Canis lupus familiaris: one gene and its partners. The protein of the gene in region 1 interacts with the protein of each later gene in a pairwise test. Links are inferred from orthologs where the notes say so. Each region holds a gene or a part of one and is shown in the gene's direction. Other genes may lie near its edges.

Evidence for each region. The genes of interacting proteins can lie anywhere in the genome.
Region 2: the proteins of FMR1 (region 1) and PICK1 interact in a two-hybrid assay, tested with the Homo sapiens proteins (2 studies listed by BioGRID and IntAct). The link is inferred for Canis lupus familiaris from reciprocal best matches to the Homo sapiens genes FMR1 and PICK1.
Region 3: the proteins of FMR1 (region 1) and CYFIP2 interact in a two-hybrid assay, tested with the Homo sapiens proteins (2 studies listed by BioGRID and IntAct). The link is inferred for Canis lupus familiaris from reciprocal best matches to the Homo sapiens genes FMR1 and CYFIP2.
Region 4: the proteins of FMR1 (region 1) and NUFIP1 interact in a two-hybrid assay, tested with the Homo sapiens proteins (2 studies listed by BioGRID). The link is inferred for Canis lupus familiaris from reciprocal best matches to the Homo sapiens genes FMR1 and NUFIP1.

The regions. Positions count from the first base shown.
Region 1 is NC_049260.1:117,389,953-117,393,967, forward strand, and holds part of FMR1 (synaptic functional regulator FMR1), read left to right. Parts: intron 1-541; coding exon of another isoform or gene 542-729; exon of another isoform or gene 730-1,370; coding exon 1,371-1,553; intron 1,554-2,024; coding exon 2,025-2,107; intron 2,108-4,015.
Region 2 is NC_049231.1:27,611,907-27,616,623, reverse strand, and holds the start of PICK1 (PRKCA-binding protein), read left to right. Parts: upstream 1-1,826; 5' UTR 1,827-2,229; intron 2,230-2,389; 5' UTR 2,390-2,446; coding exon 2,447-2,487; intron 2,488-3,582; coding exon 3,583-3,694; intron 3,695-4,717. UniProt on the Homo sapiens protein: Probable adapter protein that bind to and organize the subcellular localization of a variety of membrane proteins containing some PDZ recognition sequence.
Region 3 is NC_049225.1:53,777,416-53,782,210, reverse strand, and holds the start of CYFIP2 (cytoplasmic FMR1-interacting protein 2), read left to right. Parts: upstream 1-1,904; 5' UTR 1,905-2,011; intron 2,012-4,795. UniProt on the Homo sapiens protein: Involved in T-cell adhesion and p53/TP53-dependent induction of apoptosis. Does not bind RNA. As component of the WAVE1 complex, required for BDNF-NTRK2 endocytic trafficking and signaling from early endosomes.
Region 4 is NC_049243.1:6,004,658-6,009,188, forward strand, and holds the start of NUFIP1 (nuclear fragile X mental retardation-interacting protein 1), read left to right. Parts: upstream 1-1,640; 5' UTR 1,641-1,688; coding exon 1,689-2,091; intron 2,092-4,427; coding exon 4,428-4,510; intron 4,511-4,531. Other genes in the region: GPALPP1 (GPALPP motifs-containing protein 1), read right to left, coding at 1,371-1,461. UniProt on the Homo sapiens protein: Binds RNA.

The DNA.
Region 1 (4,015 bases):
TTTACAGGGCAGGTGTGAGTTCTGTCCACGTTCTGACTGGGGATAAATCTGCTTAAGCCCTTGTGTGTTGATGACTTTCTTAAGGCCTTTCCTGATTTTATTACTGTATAGCCAAAATTTTTTTCATTTGTGTACTGTGGCTCATTTTTTTGTCAGGCATGTGCTGGTCATACTTGCTGGATGGACTGTGTAAATCAGGGCTCTGCATCCTATGGCTCATAAGGTGATTTTGAGTGTCATGGCCAAAGTCAGCCCCAGGCACAGTCAAGAAGTAGGCAAAGCTTCTCTTTGCCTTCCCAGCTTTTCTGTCAGTGCTTCTTTCTTCTCTCCCAGTACCTTCCATTGAACACTGTCCCCACCTGCCAGTTCCTACTGTCTTTCTTGCTCAACTGTGTATCTACTATGTAACTTGCTAATGATGGTATAAGGTATAATCCATCTCACAAATATTTGCATTTCAAAAAGGAACTCTTTAAGATGGAAAAGCCTTCAAGATCCACAGGAAAGAAGCTATAATGGTGAAGCTATAATTGGTCATTAGCTCCAACAGAGGAAGAGAGAGAGGTAGTAGAGTTGATATTCTGGAGTGGGGGAGAGAGACACCTACTCCTAAGGCCAACCTTGAACCTAACCCCTAACCCCTCTCCCAACAGTCTGTTCTTTTTGCTGTTGAAGTCCCACCTCACCATAGAGCTCTATTCCCCCACTCCCATCCCCCTATATCATTAACCCACCCCCCTATGCATAATGAGTTTATCTTAATAATTCCTTTATTAATGATAAATTATTTCAGTGGGAGTGGGAGGGAAGGTTGTGGACCAAGCATCAGGCAAGCCTATCCCCTTTCAGCTAAATTCAATCCCTCATCCCACGAAAGACCCTTCGCTGACACAGTTGCCATGGTGGCCTTTGCCACCCTCTCAGAGGTGACCAAAATGTATGCATTCCCCTCTGTCCCTGGGCCAAACCTTGTTAAAAGGAACTCTCTTTATAGAGGTTTTGTTTATCAAGGTATTGCATTTAACTGTTGTAGACAACTTTTCCTCCAGAGAGCGCAGATGTTTAAAGGAGCACAGCTGTTTAATGATGTGGCATACTCAGGTTTGAACTTAGATGGCTAATAAAATACCTTTTATTTTTTTTTAACGAGAACCAAAAACATTTAAAATCAAAATTACCTCAAATATTGTGAAACCCTTCATTTTGAATTTAAGATAATTTGTTTTACAAAATGGAAGGTGATAATACTCTTTGGGCTTGTAAAATTGGGAAGAATATTGGATTGCCCCTGAAACGTCTCTGGAAGCTTCTGTTAACCTAACTTTTTTTTTTAAGTCGGACAACGGTATATAACTTTTAACTCTTGATAGGAACTAATTCTGAAGCATCAAATGCTTCTGAAACAGAATCTGACCACAGAGACGAACTCAGTGATTGGTCATTAGCTCCAACAGAGGAAGAGAGGGAGAACTTTCTGCGCAGAGGAGACGGACGGCGACGTGGTGGTGGAGGAAGAGGACAGGGAGGAAGAGGACGTGGAGGCGGCTTCAAAGGTACAGAGGTGTTCTTTTCTAATAATAAAAGGTGAATTTTAACAACTGTCTGAAGTCCTGTGAAAGATCGTGGTGATTCAAGGACGTATTACTAAAACCCTCTTTTCCTGTTATATACTGGTCACCAGAGGAAAGGCTCAGCAGTAATCAACAGAACATTAGCCTTTCCATGGTATGTGTAGAATACACAAATAAACACTGATGACTAGTTCAGCTTCTTTGGGGATTCTATGCATAACCTGTGATCATTAGCTCAGGCTGACTGTAACATAATTGATGCAGAATTGTAATGCCTATTTTCTCCTGCTTGGTACCATGCTAGATTTCTGAGCATTATGTACCTGGAATCACTAGATTGTTGATTATATTTTAGATTCTGTGCTCTAAATAAGTTGAGAATGTGGGAATAAAGAACTTCCAGTAAGCACGTCAGAATCAGTAACTGTTGAATGTCTTAAAAATGACCTATAGGAAATGACGATCACTCCCGAACAGATAATCGCCCGCGTAATCCAAGAGAGGCTAAAGGAAGAACAGCTGATGGATCCCTCCAGGTAAACCTGTGTGCCACTTTTCATCTAAATTATTTGAATTACTGTAGTTTGAGACTTACAAGTTTATTTTAATTTTTAAACATATTCAAAAGTTGTAAAATTGGTATATGTGAAAGATTTTCAACATTACATTGTGGGCAATCCTAGTTTTTCATGACAAGTATACAAAGATTTCCCTAGAGAATATGCGGTCTTAAGCATTTGTGAAGACTTTGACAGCTCATCAGGACTTAGTTCCAAGTTGGTGGTTCTCCCCGAATTCCCTGAAGAAAAGGGACATCCTGGAATATACTGAGAGAGAGAGACCTCAGTAAACCCTGTTGATCCCTCTTCCCCTTAGTTGCAGAGATAGGGTGATCTCTTTGAGTGGAAAGTAAGGAAAAGAAGGTGTCTATCTCATAGGTAATATGAGAGGGCTGATGATGCTCTCAGCTAGTACATGCTGAATCAGCCAGCTGTTTGTTTATAACCAGTCTCTATTCTGGGAATCCCATTTCAGTTGGTTATGACCTATGCTGACCCCATTGTTAAATAATTTTAAAATTACCCCTGGGGGATGTCGGACACCGTTGCTAAGTGGTTTGTGTGTGTTGTGTTATCTCATTTAATCTTTCAGCAGCCCCTGAGGTAAGTAGTTTTATTTTTCTATTCTTTAGGTGAGTAAACTGAAGCTTTTAGAAAGATTCAGTCCTTTGTCTGTGGTCACATAGTGAGCATACATATAGTAGAGTGATATTTGAGCCCTGGTGTCTGATTCCCAGAACCCATAGTCTCCTCTGCTCCTTTAACTCTCAGTTCTTAGTCTAAGTAGTTAGGGTTCCTTACTGACTACAGATTGGTTTGGGACCAACACCAACATTAGTGGGATGCTTTTTAAGAGCAGAAACTTCATGACAGAATATTCCTTAGGAGTCATAGCAATTGTAAGTAAGTGTTAACTATTGGCAAGTTCCCAAGGAATAGAAAAGACCTTAGATTGAGATAAAGAGATGATGAAATGATGTACATATGTGTGCTTTACAAAGATGTAAGGCATTTATCTGTTGGCCTTGTAATTCCCCACTTAAAGTGTGTCCCATGAATTTGGCAATCTGGTCATATTGGTTAAAAGGATGCGTGTTCATAATTATATTTATAATTAAAACAGGACATCAAATAAAAAGGTTGTATTTTCTGTGTAGGAGAATAGATCCAAGTTAGAGCACTAAATCCTTGACAGCCAAACATTTAAAACATACACTGACCTCTCTCTCTCTCTCTCTCTCTCTCTCTCTCTCTCTTTGTGTCTCTCATGAATAAATAAATAAAATCTTTTAAAAAAAAACATACACTGAGGGATGCCTGGGTGGCTCAGTGGTTGAGCCTCTGCCTTTGGCTCAGGGCGTGATCCTGGGATCTAGTCCCACATTGGGTTCCCTGCAGGGAGCCTCCTTCTCCCTCTGCCTATGCCTCTGCCTCTGCGTCTCGTGTATAAGTAAATAAAAATCCTTAAAATAAATAAACACACTGAGACACCCAACATGTGAACACACTTTGAAATTACAGCAAACCATTTTGAGATATATGTAGCATTTGTACTGGAAGCAGATCAATATTTGTAGTTGTTTTAAGCCCACTGGTCAATATTATCTTCCTTTTATACAGCATCTGGAATTGTTAGCAGTGTTTTAAGTGTTCCATGTTGGCACTTATAAGTGTTCCATGTTGGCACTTATATTCCAAGATTTATAGGATACTTTTATTTTCTGAATTGCATTCATCTTTACACATGTCTTGGGATTCTACTCCTTCCACATATTAGTATTGTCAAATTTCCCTATACCATCATATTCTTCAGACAGAGCTCAAGTTGTATTATCATCTGACTTCCCTTGCCCAAAATACAAGCTATAAGAAAGCAATGCTCAA
Region 2 (4,717 bases), on another chromosome or scaffold:
ACTGCTTCTCCTTAAATTCTCTTTCTGTATGAACTTTATAACCCATGGCACCTTCCAGGGGATGCCAGGAAGCCATCAATGAATGGGTGGTGTCACTGTGACAAACAAGGAAAGACAATTGGATTGTTTGGTAATGCCTATTAGTGGGAAAATATTACAAACCACTTCATCAGTGGAGGGCGTCTCCTGGGTCAACTCCTGGGTCTCCCTAGTAGCAGGGAAACCTGTCCCAGCCAATTAAGGGGGTGAGGTTTGGACCATGAATTTGAGGGGAAATAAAGGTCAAATAACTTGTTCTCTCACCAGAGTAAGCACTTCTTATCTTTCCAGGCAGAAAGTCCCTCCCGAGGTCGGGGGCAGATCTTATTCTCTGTACAAGCAGGCCCCGGAGACATGGGGCTTGGCTCCAGAACACCGCAATAAAGCAAATGTCCCAATCAGGCAGGTCAGATGGACCTCTTCATCTTGACCTTCACAAGTACCTGTTGGGAGGATCATTTTCCCCTGGTCTATGGATTTCTGAAGCTCAGAGCCAGGCAGTGACTTACCCAAGATCACCCAGTTATAAAATGGCAGAACATGGGCTTGAGCTAAGAGTCATGGGTGGAGGAGTCACAGTTCCTGTTAAAGTGTCTGGCTTTGGAGGCTGGTGTCGTTTTCTTCTTCTTCTTCTTCTTCTTCTTCTTCTTCTTCTTCTTCTTCTTCTTCTTCTTCTTCTTCTTCTTCTTCTTCTTAAAGATTTATTTATTTTGAGAGAGAGAGAGAGAGAACAAGACAGCACATGTGGGAGGGGAAGGGTCAGAGGGAGAGAGAGAATCTCAAGCAGACTTTGAGTTGAGCAAGGAGCCAGAGGCGGGGCTCTATCCCATGACCGTGAGATCATGACCTGAGTGGAAATCAAGAATCAGATGCTTAGCCAACTAAGACATCCAAGTGCCCCAGTTGCTGCTTTTTAAAATTAAAATCCTGGCCTGAACAGGGTTTGGAAGTTCCAGCCCTAGCTCTGCCACTGACTGTGAGACGAGGAGAAGCTGCTTCTCTGTGCCTGTTTCCTTACCTGCACAATGTGGCTGACAACCCATGTCCTCCTCTCACAGGGTCATGGTGAACTCTGAGGCCCTGTGAGTCACCTGAGCTGCAGAGCAGTGGGTACATGGAAAGGTCCCCGCTACTGTGGCATTCTGCACATTTACCGGGACTCCGATGGGCTTCCTAAAGAGGGGGTGCGGGGTGGGGTGGGGCTCCTTCCTCCGCCGCCCCTGGAAGGAAGCTGTGATCCTCCGTGGGCCTCAGGGGGGCTGCTCCTCAGGACTAAAGACAGAGATGAGGTGTGAGGAGTCTCTCACCAAATACCATAGAAAGCATCTGCCTCAGTGCTCTTTGTTTGCATACGGCGAAAGGGGGCACATAAAGGCAACGGCAGGTAACTTGCCCAATCTGTTAACAGAGCCACTGAATACAAGTGTGCAGGCGTTAAAGGGGCGCTGCACTAGGTGGCAGGAGTCTCAGGGTCAAGATCTTGACCTTATACCAACGGTGGGCGGCTCTGGACAAAATCTCTTCTCTTTTTTGGCAGTTTCCTGGTCGCAGACTGAGAGTAGCCTCGAAGGGTCCTTCCAGTTCGGAGGCTGACATCCTAGTAGAGGAGACTCAGCACCCTAGGCCAAGGTGCTAAAAACATGAAAAGGTTTGCATTCCACTGAACTTCGCCGGAAGCCTCCGCGCCCAAGGATGCTTCCGTTGCCACGGCAACCGCTCGGCCGGCGTGGTCCCCGGCGTCCCGCGGAGGAAGCTGGGAAGAGCCCTGCCCTCACCAAGATGGCGGCGGCCACGGGGCAGAGGGCGGGGTTGAGCGTCGTCGGCCCTTCCAGACCTTTCCTCTGTTTCCGCTTTCTCGTGCTAACGGCGAGCTTCCGTCAATACTTGGGCTCTTTTCTGGCTCTGGGAGAGCCCGGAGCCAGGGAGGGAGGGTTGTCTGCAAGAACTGGGGCCAATACCCGGGTGGTCAGGTAGGCGGGACTTCCGCGTAAAAGAGGAAGTGACGCGACAGTCGCGGCCGCCGACAGGTGGAACGGCAGGTGGCTTCAGGTGCCAGCCTGGCCTGGACCCGGCTGTGGGACCGACGCTTCCGGTGAGCGACAGAGGTGGCTCCCAAGGGCCTGGAGATCCGTGGGGCGGGCTCTGGGGTGTGAGCTCACCGCCCTGGCCTGGAACTCCCCCCTCTACCTAGTAAGAATCCCGTCCCTTCCCGCCCCCCAACCTCGGGGACTACCCCCACCGTCCAGAGGGACAGGGGAGGGTCCGGCTCCCCCCGTATCCCCCGGGTGGAGGTTGACATCTAGGCACTTCGGGTCCCTGAACCCTACGCTCTTTTCTCTCCCTGGTCCAGTTCCCCATTCCCCTGCCGAGCTGGGCAGTCAGCCAGCCCACCTCAACTCTCGGAACCATGTTTGCAGACTTGGATTATGACATCGAGGAGGATAAACTGTGAGTATTTTGTTCCTTCCAAGTCCCAGGAATGCACGAGCCCCGGGGCCTCCAGATCCCCAGACTTCCCAGCTCCACAGACCCTTGCTTCTCAGCGGGGGTTAAGTAGGTCTTGTTCTATAGTAGAAATGGACCCTGCCCTTCCAGGAGCTCACCATCTGTAGGGGGCTGCGGACACCCTAGCAGATGACAAGTCAGGGCCACGTGGGTACTAATGGAGAATGGCCTGGCTACAAGGAGAGAGCAGAGGAGCAGTCTCTTGATTGGGGTGTTCAGGGAAGGCTTCAAAAAGGAGGTGGCAGTGGAGCCAGGTTTTGAAGGTGAATGGGAGTATTGTAAACATACTTTCCTTCCCAGTATAGGTAATTAGTAGGACAGATTTTCAGAAATTGTTAGTCTCTCAACTAAAATCTGCCCTCCATCAGTCCACTGCCTGCATCCTCAGCACTTAGTATGGTGCTCGACTCACCATCAGTAGGTTGCTGGTTTGTTGAATGAATAAGTGAATGGAGGCAAATATTTACAGCAGAACATAAACAAGTGCTGGTTTATACTGAAAATTGAGAGGTAATTGAGCAGAGCAACTGAGAGATGGGTGATGGATAATTTAAGAGGAGAAGGCTTCCTGGAGCAAGTGGCCATAATGTTCCACCTGTGCCTGAGAAGGTGAGAAGGACAGAGTCTGGATCAGGCCTCAGAGACAGGATGAAGGAGAGGGAAGGGGGAATCTGTTTTCATGGAGTGCCTGCTCTGGGCTGGACTGGTGTTAAGTGCCTTTCGTGTGCTTTCTTATAAGAATTTTCACCAAGTAGCAAGCCATTTCCATCCATACCATTTTATGGCTGAGGGAACTGAGATGCACAGAGGTGACTTACTTATCCAAGTCCTGTAGATGGTCAGTGGCAGAGCCGGGATCTGATCCTGCATCTGCAGGACTCCTAAGAGCTGCACATGTGCCAGCGCCAGACACTGTCTTTTTGGCCAATTGAGAAAAGAAAAAGCTGAGCAGCACTTGGAGCCTCTCAGGGGCTTCCTTCCTCGTCCCCTTTAAGGAATCCTCCCAGGAGATTCGGCCACATGTGCTTCTCTTTCTAGTGGAATCCCTACTGTGCCTGGGAAGGTGACCCTACAGAAGGATGCTCAGAACCTGATCGGGATCAGCATCGGAGGAGGGGCCCAGTACTGCCCCTGCCTCTATATTGTCCAGGTACTGGGTGCTTTGGAGGTGGGGGTGAGGTCCTAGAAGGGGTGAGCCACCTCCCTCCCCTGGGGCAGGCTTATTTTCCTGACTGCGGAGCTGAGGCCTGAACTCCTCAGAGAGGCCTTCCCGGGCATGCCCCTCAGTAGATGCACCCTGTTCTCTGCTGTATCAATGCGCTCCTTCCCTTCTCAGCTCCGCTCACCATCTGTAATCATGGGTTTGCCCATTCGTCGTCCTCTATCTCACTGCTAGCCAGACACCACACTGTGAGGACAGGATCTCAGCCTGCTTTTTCACTGCTGTCAGCACCAAGTACAACATGTGTCATAGGGTCAAATGCACAAAACTGTCGGCCTGGGGTACTGGTGCAAGTGGAATGTGAATTTTAGTGGAAAGTCTGCAAGTCCATGGGATGCTAGTGGCCTGGTGAACCCAAATGTAAGCCTCCCTGCTCAGCAGCGAGTTACTTGGTAAGCTCTCTGGGCCTCAGCTTCCTCATCTGGCAAGTGAGAGTGTAAAATGTGTAGGTCACTGTGAGGATTAACCAGAATGCCCCAAACATTGCCCGGCATTTAATAAATACGAAGTAGAAGATGTTGTTTTGTACCTAGCAGTTGTTCATGTCCCCGAGACACTCTGCCAGTGGTACTGAACATTTTTGTGGTTCTTGTAGATGAAGCTGCTTTGGTGACATTCTATCAGCTGTGACTCTGAGCAGTGGGGACAGTTTACTTTGTGACGGGTCAGTCACTGGTTTTTCTGTAGGCTCCAAAGGAAGCTTGCCACAGACATAAATGTGACCTGCCTTCTACTCTGTTCCCACTTTCTCAGCTCAGTAGCCATTGGTGGCAGATGGGAAACTGCTGTCTCTCTGAGAATCTTGCAAAAGAGTCACTTTTGGGCCTTGAGGACAGAGATTCCCGGGATGTAGCCTGGTCTACTCTGGGTGCTGCCTTCACGAGCTTTTGGCCTCCTCTGACCCAGGAGGTATTAGGGAGGCCTTGCCCAGGCCTGGGCCCCCCTGCTACA
Region 3 (4,795 bases), on another chromosome or scaffold:
TCTAACCAAATATATATGCAATAGTCTTTTTGTTTCTCTTAAGCAACTTGTTCTTGAAAGGTGAAAAGACAAGGAAGGAGTAGCAGGGGAAATGTGTCTTCCAGAAATCCACAACATCCAACATAGTATGTCCTCTAGAATGAAGATCCAATCTCTCTTGTTACATAATCACTGACACTCAAAAAACTAAGGATCACAGTGGAAAATGAAAAATTAAACAAGGAAGGAAGGAAGGAAGGAAGGAAGGAAGGAAGGAAGGAAGGAAGGAAGGAAGGGGAGAATGAAAGCAAGCAAGCAAGAAAAGAGAAACTCAGTTCGGTTTTTAAAGCCATCCTCCACAAACACCTCCACAGCTTTCTCACAGGGAAGAAATGTGTGTGTGTACATATATATATAAGTCATCCTTTCTGAAATAGCAATTTAAATTGGAGTGAGTGATGTAACATCAAACCATAAAGGATCATGAATTCTGAGGGTTTGGGAAGTGGTGTGAGATCCATGAGGGCAAAGATTCCTCAAGTCCTTTGCCAGAGACTCCAGTAATACGCCCCTCTATAATTAGCCCCTAAATAGGAATAGCTGAGTGATTAAGTATAAATTTGTGGGCCCTGGGCAAACACTCCAGAAAGCTTCCCTTGTAACAGGACTTAATTCTTTGTATCTGTACACACTTTAAAACGTCTCGAATGCTTTCCAGTGTTTACCCTGTGAAGTAGGAAGGGCAAGCATTACCCTCACGTTATAGACACAGTGGCTTCTCAGGAACAGTGTTGAAGTGACTTGGGTAGGGGGTCTCAAGGTTGGATCTGAGGGCCCACGAGGCTGCAGTTCAGTGAGGACTGTTCCTTTGAACAGCCCTCAACGCAGAACAAGGCTTCCTGTTGCCACGCATTTTCCCTTTTGTCCATTAGGCAATTCTCCCTCAATGAAGTCGAGGCAGAGCCTCCTTAGGAGATGGCACCTTCCGGGGGTTGGCTCCAAGGAACGGAGAAGGTATTCCTTTTTTTTTTTTTTTTAATTTATTTTTTATTGGTGTTCAATTTACTAACATACAGAATAACCCCCAGTGCCCGTCACCCATTCACTCCCACCCCCCGCCCTCCTCCCCTTCCACCACCCCTAGTTCGTTTCCCAGAGTTAGCAGTCTTTACGTTCTGTCTCCCTTTCTGATATTTCCCACACGTTTCTTCCCCCTTCCCTTATATTCCCTTTCACTATTATTTATATTCCCCAAATGAATGAGAACATATAATGTTTGTCCGGAGAAGGTATTCCTGAGCAGAGGAGCGGCACTGGGGGCCAGAATCAATGGGTTGGGGCCCCCTCGCCCCAGCCTCAGCTGTATTTCCCATCACTTTGCCCGGTTCTTTCCTTCACGGCACTTCTTCCCGCTGTCAGTGCGCGTTGGCCAGGTTAATGCGTGCCCCATCTCCCCTGGTAGGCAAGAAGCTCCAAAAGGGCAGTACACCGGTGCATACTCAGCTTCTGGCACGGGGCTCGGAACAAAGTAGCTGCTCAATAAATATTAGGTAGATAAATGAGCGCTTGGAAATAGAGAGTGAGGTCGATGAGCTCCGAGCGCAGCCCAGGGCCGCCCTCCCCGCCGGCGGCAGGTGTGGCTCCCGGCGAGCGAGACCTGAGCGCAGGTGCCGCCTCCGTCCCTTACGCGGGCCGCGCGGCCGGTCGTCCTGGGGCAGGAGCCGCGCGGCAGGTCGGGCGCCCCGGGAGCCCCTCGCCGCAGCCATTTCCTGCTCTTTGTGTGACGGCGGCGGCGGCGGCGGAGGGCCGGCCCCGCGCGGGGGAGGAGCCGGAGCCGGAGCCGGGAGCCGCGAGCCGCGAGCCGGGCGCGGGGGGCGGGGCGGGGCGGGGCGGGCCCGGGGGCGGGGGCGGGGCCGAGCGCGGCGGCCGCGGGAGCCGAGCGGAGCCGGGCGGAGCGGGCAGAGCATCCTGCGCCCCGGCGCGGGGCCCCCGGCAGCCTCGGGCCGCTCGCCTGGACCTGCCGCCGACGCAGGTAAGCGGCGCGGCGCTCGCGGGCCTGGGCGCCGGCCTGGGCGCCGGGATGCTGCGGGGGACGCCGGTGCGGCCGCGAGGATGCGCGGGGGGCCGGCGCCCCTCCACCCAGCCCGAGGGGGGGCGCTCGGCGCGGCGCCCCGGCTGGCGCGGCCTGGGGGACCCGGAGCCCCTGGGGCAGGGCTGCAGGCCCCGCGCGGCCCCTGCCGGCTCCGGCCCATCCCGGCCCCGCGGCGCGGACCCGGGGCGAGGAGGCGCGGACACGCGACGCAGCTCGGGCGCGGCGGCGGCGGCGGCGGCGGCGGCGGCAGCAGCAGGTGCGCGGCCTGGGCCGAAGCCGCGGGCCGGAGACGGAGCGGCGCTGATCCCGGCCGGGAGACACCTGCGGGGGCCGCGAGCCCAGCGGCGGCGACCCCCGGAGCCCAGGTACTGCGGAGCGCCGGCCGCCGCCTCCGCCGCCTCGGCCCATCCCCTCCTCCAGGGCCAGCGAGAGGCGCGTGGGCCCGCCTGGCGGCCGCCGGGGACAGCAGCGCCCTGCGCTGGGCGCGACATGGGTGGGGCGGGGGGGCCGCCGGCGACCGGGGGTGCGGGGCTTTAGCGAGGCGGGAGGAAGCCGGACCGCTTGGAAGCCTGCGGGCCTACGCTGGCATCCTCTGCCTCCCGGCTGCCTGTGGGCGGGGGAGGACACGGGGAAGGGGACGAGTGCGCCGAGTCCTGGGGAAAAGGTTGGATTTCTCTTGAGCCCTGAAGACATCAGGAGGATCGCCTACCTGTCTGTTGTGGCTTCTGCTTTTCAGGACAGCCCGCCCCCTCGATGGATGGGTGGAAAGGAAGAGGAGGGAGTGCTCTCTGTTTAGAGGTGGGGGTGGGGACGGGGGCAGGAAGCCTGGTCACGGTCAGACAGGAGGACGGTTCTCTGTACTGCGGAGACCCTGGCAGGAAAGGACCCTGGGACTGCCCTGGCCCTCCTCAGCTCCAGGAACCTGCCTTTGACCTCTGCTTGCCTACTGTCTCCAGTTGAGCCGAAGCACTCACCTAGAGCTGATGGGCCATCTGCTCCCCTTCCAGCCAGGACAAGAAGGTGGCAGGGGTCTTTCCCAGCTAGCTCTCGGGTGCCTGTGCCTTCCTGGCATGGGTAAGGAGACTGGGGCAGTCCTGCGGGCATGAGGGACAAATCAGAGTGCTGGTTCTCATACTCCTCTTTTCTAACTCCTACCCTGTCCCTCTTAGGGCAGGTTGTCTTATCTTACTTACCCTTAGGCACTGGCCCTGTGGGAGGCCATGCCGGTAACCCTGGAGATCACAGATGTTGGAGGGCAAAATTCTAGGACCATATCCCTGGGCAGGATTGCAGAGGCCTTGGAGGCAGTTTTCTCTGTGACTCTCCCTGAGGCCTCCCATCTCCAGCTCCAGCTCCATGTTCTGTGCTTCCCCTAGTCTCCTATGTCAAAAATTATTTTCAAGAGAGGAGCCAGTGAACATGTTTATCCTTAAGAGCTAAATACAAAAGAATTTGAAATTTGATGCAGAGCAGGTCCTTTAGAAGTCGTTTAACTGGAAAGGAAACAGAGGCTGGGAGGCATTTGAATGGAAAACAAAGCTTTAAGTCAACCTATTTGCTATCTCTAATGGTGGAATTTCAGGCAGTAGACTGGAAGTGGGAATGGGGAACTGGGTAGCAATGTTGGGGAACAGTCACTGAAATGACAGTATCTAGCATCTGTCAGCAATGTTTGCTGCTGGGGCAGAAATGCCATTGGAGTGTGTGTCTGTGTAACTGTCCAGGGGTTCCTGGCACTGGAAGGTATCTGTGGTGCACCCAGTATCCACTTGGGGGAGGTGAAACTTTGCTATAGAGAGTTATTCAGTGGTACTGGCTGCCATCTGCCTGGCCAGTTACTGAGCCACAAGAAGAGTGTGTTGTTGCTTACAAAGCCAGTGCTTTGCCTAGTTCTGAACACTGAGCCTCTGGCGGGGGGCATTAGCTGTCAGCTCACTAAGCTTCGTTATTATATTTCCTGGTAAGTTCTGACCAGTTCTGTAGGCACCCAAGCCTGCCCTGTTTAGTCTCTGCTGAAAGTAGAAACTGAAAAACTTGCTTTAGCCGTTAGGCCAAGAATGGGGTATATGATCCAAGAGAGTTCAAGAGTTTTTTCTCGAATCAAATCAGAGGCTGGCCCAGAAAAGGAAGTAGGCATTTAAAATTTAAAATCTGGAAAAGGGGGGGATCCCTGGGTGGCGCAGCGGTTTAGTGCCTGTCTTTGGCCCAGGGTGTGATCCTGGGAACTCAGGATCGAATCCCGCGTTGGGCTCCCGGTGCATGGAGCCTGCTTCTCCCTCTGCCTATGTCTCTGCCTCTCTCTCTCTCTCTCTGTGTGCCTATCATAAATAAATAAAATTTAAAAAATATATATATATATCATTAAAAAAATAAATAAAAATAAAATAAAATAAAATCTGGAAAAGGGCCCCAGGAGAACACTACATGTACCCTCTGATAAATTGTGCCCTCTTGGGTGTTCAGTGGGCCTTCTCTGCTGTCATTGACCAGCAAGCTGAATGAGGTGATGAATAGGCAATGAGCTAATTAGCATTGGAAACAGCACTCCTGGAAAACAGTACAGGGCTCCAGTCCCTACATTTGAGAATCGGCCTACACTCTCAAAGAGGTTTCTTTTGGCTGCTGTTGGCCCCAGGGTTCTACCAAGAGCTTCACAAAATGGCCTTTTGTAGCCTCCATGTGGCCACCATAACAATGCATCTATTTCTTTACTAGCAAGTATTA
Region 4 (4,531 bases), on another chromosome or scaffold:
GAGGGCAGAGACGCCTGGGTGGCTCAGAGGCTGAGCATCTGCCTTTGGCTCAGGGCGTGATCCTGGGGTCCTGGGATCCAGTTCTGCATAGGTTCCCTGCATGGAGCCGGCTTCTCCCTCCGTGTCTCTCATGAATAAATAAAATCTTGAAAAGAAAAGAAAAGAGAAGAGAAGAGAAGAGAAGAGAAGAGAAGAGAAGAGAAGAGAAGAGAAGAGAAGAGAAGAGAAGAGAAAAGAAAAGAAAAGAAAAACGAAAAGAAAAGAAACGAAACGAGAGGGTTACTCTTTCGGCTTTACTCTTTTCCAATTTTGGTGTCAAAACCAGTCTGCAAATTAGAACAAACATTAAAGGAGATAAATAGGAAGCGTTTATTTGGCAAATACGAAGTGCCCACTCTGTGTGTTACAGCGAGAGGATCCTACTGTAAACGGTGCAGGAAGATACGACACAAGTCATTTTTTAAAAGTGTGTTAAGGGGAATCCCCGGGTGGCTCAGCGGTTTAGCACCCGCCTTTGACCCAGGGCGTGATCCTGGGGACCCGGGATCGACTCCCACGTCGGGCTCTCTGCATGGGGCCTGCTTCTCCCTCTGCCTGTGTCTCTGCATCTCTATCTACATCTCTGTCTCTCATGACACATAAATAAATAAAATCTTTAAAAAAAATTAAGTAGAAGAAAACCCCGTGGGGAGGAAAAAAAATAAAAAAAGGAAGGCGTGTCAATTCTTGGGAGAGTTTGGAAAAGCTTCCCTGAGGCCTTCGCTGACATTCACGCTGGGCCTTGGAGATCGGGGTAGGAGTTTGGCGGAGAGTGTCAAGAAGCCGAGCGAGGCCGGAAAGAGCCTAGAGAAACTCGGGCCTGGTTTCAGCACTGGACTGTGCGTGTCGGATTCAACGACAGGAACAGGGGCTAGGAGGGCGGGTGGGAGCATCTTCTGCAGAGCATCTTCTGCAAGGGCCCGGGAAGGCAAAAGGGCACGGAGGTTAGGAGCCCCGGCGGTCGGGCCTCGGGGTCCCCGTGTGTGGCATGGAAATAATAACAATCTTACTTCCTAACGATATCATCTTACACATATAATAACCACCTTACGCAGTCGCTAGGAGGATGAAGCGACAGTGTGTACCGAACGTCAGCGGAGGCTCCAGCCCATCAGGAGCTAAATAAGACACCATCGTCGTAACGATTCCCAGCATCTCCCCGCCCCCCCGCCACCCACCCCTCCACTTCCCGCTACCGCTGGAGAAGCCAGGTTAGCTGCGGTCGGCCGCGCCCACTTGCCCCTGCTCCGCCCTTCGAGGCCTCGGACGTCTCTTCACGGCGGGCCCGGGAAGGGGCGGGCAGGCGGGCAGCGTCAGGCGCCGCCGCTCACCGGGGCTGCGGTCTCGCTCCTCCTCCTCCTCCGCTGTCCCGCGAGCCTTGAAGCCGGGCGGCAGCGCCGGCCCGATCAGATCCCTCGCCATCCGCGGGGGCGGACACCGTCCGGCCCTACGACTCTAACCACACAGACTCCCGTCGGCCAAGAGGCAGCCCCGGCTCCTCGCGCCGCACTTGCCGCCCGCCTTTTTCCGGCGCCTGCCGATGACGTAGCAACCTGTGGTTGGCGGAGCCGCGCAAGTCGCGAAAGGCGGAAGTGACGCCTAAAGCCCGTTCCGCATTCGCACGCTCGGCTCGCTGCCTGGCGGGAGGCATGGCTGAGCCGGCTAGCGATTCCGTGGCTTCTGCGGGGTGGTTTCCGTCGTCCGAGCTGACCCCGGCGCTGGGGCCTCTGAGCGACCCTGCCTCGCTGCGGGACAACTGGATGCTCTGGGCAATGCTGCCGCCGCCACCGCCGCCTTCGTCGTCGCCTTCTCTGGGAGGGTCGGAGCCTTCCTCGGAGGGGCGGCCCTCCCGGGAGGCCCAGGCGCTCCCCGAGGCGCCCCCTCCCTTCGACGCCCAGATTCTCCCCGGGGCGCAGCCTCCCTTCGACGCCCAGTACCCCCTTGATGCTCAGCCTCCCCTCAACGGCCAGCCGTCCTGGAACTTCCAGGCTTCGACATCATGGTACTGGAGACAGTCGTCTGGTGCTTTTCGGGGGCATCAGAAGACTCCGGGTAGGCTGTTACCCCCGCCCCCTCCTTACCACCCTTTACTTTCCTTTTCTTCTCCCCTTCCTTCCTCTCCCACTTTCCCCTTTTTCCTCTTCTCTACTTCTGATTCTGTCCTGCAGTCCTGGAGTCTGTCTGCTCATCAACGTCTCACAATTTGTCGGACAGTAATGTTTTCCCCGCCTATTCAGTCCGGTTCAGGAGTTATTTATTTTTTCTTTTTAAAGATTTTGTTTATTTATTCATGAGACACACACACACACACACACACACACACACACACACACAGAGGCAGAGACACAGGCAGAGGGAGAAGCAGGCTCCATGCAGGGAGCCCGACGTGGGACTCGATCCCGGGTCTCCAGAGTCACGCCCTGGGTCAAAGGCAGGCGCTAAACCGCTGAGCCACCTGGGCATTCCCTGTTCAGGACTTATTTATCGAATTCCAGCAGTGTACCAGGAACTGGGGATATAGCAGTGATCGAAATATAACAAAAATCCTTACCTTTATGGAGCTTCACGTTTCCTGGTGGAGGAAGACGGAATAAAGCAGTGTGTATTAGAAGGCAGTGAGGGCCATGGCGAGATAGAGAGCCAAAGGGGAATGATAGGGAGTGCAGTTTTAAGTGTCAGTCGTTTTTTTTTTTTTTTTAAAGAATAAATAAAATAAGTGTCAGTCGTAAAGAGTCAGCTTCGGAGCAAAGGCTACAGGGAGGTGAGGGATACATTTGTGGATGACATCTGGGGGAATAGGGATGCAGGCAGAATGAAGTGCAAGTGCAAAGACTTGGAGGCGGGAGCTGTAGATCAGAACCGAAGCCAAGAGGAACAAGCCTGGGGACAGAACTGTAGAAGATCGGGGAAGAGGGCCGACCTGCTAGGGCCTTGTAGACAGTGGGACTTTGACTTTTTGCTCTTGTGATAGGGGGTGGTGCAAGGGAGTGACGTGACTTGATTTACATTTTAGAAGGATTAATGTGGCTGCTAATGGTTATTGATCTAAAGGGAAAGGAGTTAGGAAGGTATTGGAGTTACCCAAGTGAGAGATACTGGGGACTCGGGCCACCAGGGTGGAGCTCGGGGGATGGATGAAAGTGTTGGATTCTAGATCTGTTTGGAGGGGAGGGAAGGACCAACACGGTTTGCTCCAGGATCAGATGTAAGATGTGAGGTCAAGACAAGAATAACAAAGCCCCCGCCCCCCACCCCCCCAACAAGTGGAAGGATGGGAATGGAACAGATTTGGAAGGAAGACCCGGGAGTTGAGCTTGGAATATGTTGGTGTCAAATGGAGATATCGAATAGGCTGTTAGGTTGTACTTTTCAGGGGAGATTGGTGTCTGGAGCTGTGAATTTGGGTGTCATCAGCATATAGGTCATAGTTAAAGCCACAAGATTGTTCACTTAAAACCCTTCAATTCTGCATGAGCTTTAATTTACATCAACTCGAATCCAAATCAGCGTTTACTGCTTGCCGAATGCCGGGAATATGAATGTTCTAAGACAGTCCTGAGTCCAGTGAGACGGGTTCATAAATATAAGTCACAGCACAGCATGACTGGCGATGGAGGCATGTAGAGGAATTTGGGGAAGGCTTTTGGAAGAAGCGCGTTGGGAGATGTGTAGGGTTTATGAAGAGATACTTTTTAGGTATGGGCAAAGAGGTGTGAATACAAGGGGAGTTCTGAGAACTGCTCTGTTCTAGTGTGAGTGAAGCAAAGTAAGTGGAGGGTATGGGGGAAGAGTAGGATGAGAAAATAAACTGGGATCTCATTAAAGGGCTCTGGGAAGCCATTTATAGATTTTCCAGGATTGTGACCATTGGAGGATTATTTTTGTGGTGAAAATGTGTAGAGTCTGTTGGAAGAGAGGGCTTGCGAACTAGAAGACAGTCTGGAAGCCTGTGCTAGTAATCTAGGTGAAAGATAAGGTTTCAGAGTTGGGTCTTGGCAATAAGACAGGAAAGAACGTGAGAGAAAATGTATTTCACAACTCTGTTTTCCTGCTGTAAAGTTGATGCTGAAAGTGCTGTATTGGGATTTTATTATTTACATTTCTAATGCTTGAAATAACTGTAACAAATTTTATCAGGTTTGAGTGGCCATTTCTTTCTTTACTTTGACACCTAAAGCATGTATGGACGTGTAAATTGTTACATGTAAATATGTAACAACATATTTACTTGAAAAATACTTATTTGGTAGACTAGTCTTAATCTTTGTTAATTTGAACTTCTTCTTAAAAGCGGCAGTTTTTACTCAAGTATTTGTGACATGTTAGAACAAATAAAATTTAAAAATTGTATAGTTGCAAATATTTACAGGTTTCTTTTTGTTTTTTAGTTAATCATTCTTATTTTCCACGAAAATATGATGCAAAGTTCACTGATGTCAACCTCCCTCCCAGTAGAAAACAGAAAAAAAAGGTATTTTTAAAGATATTCTTG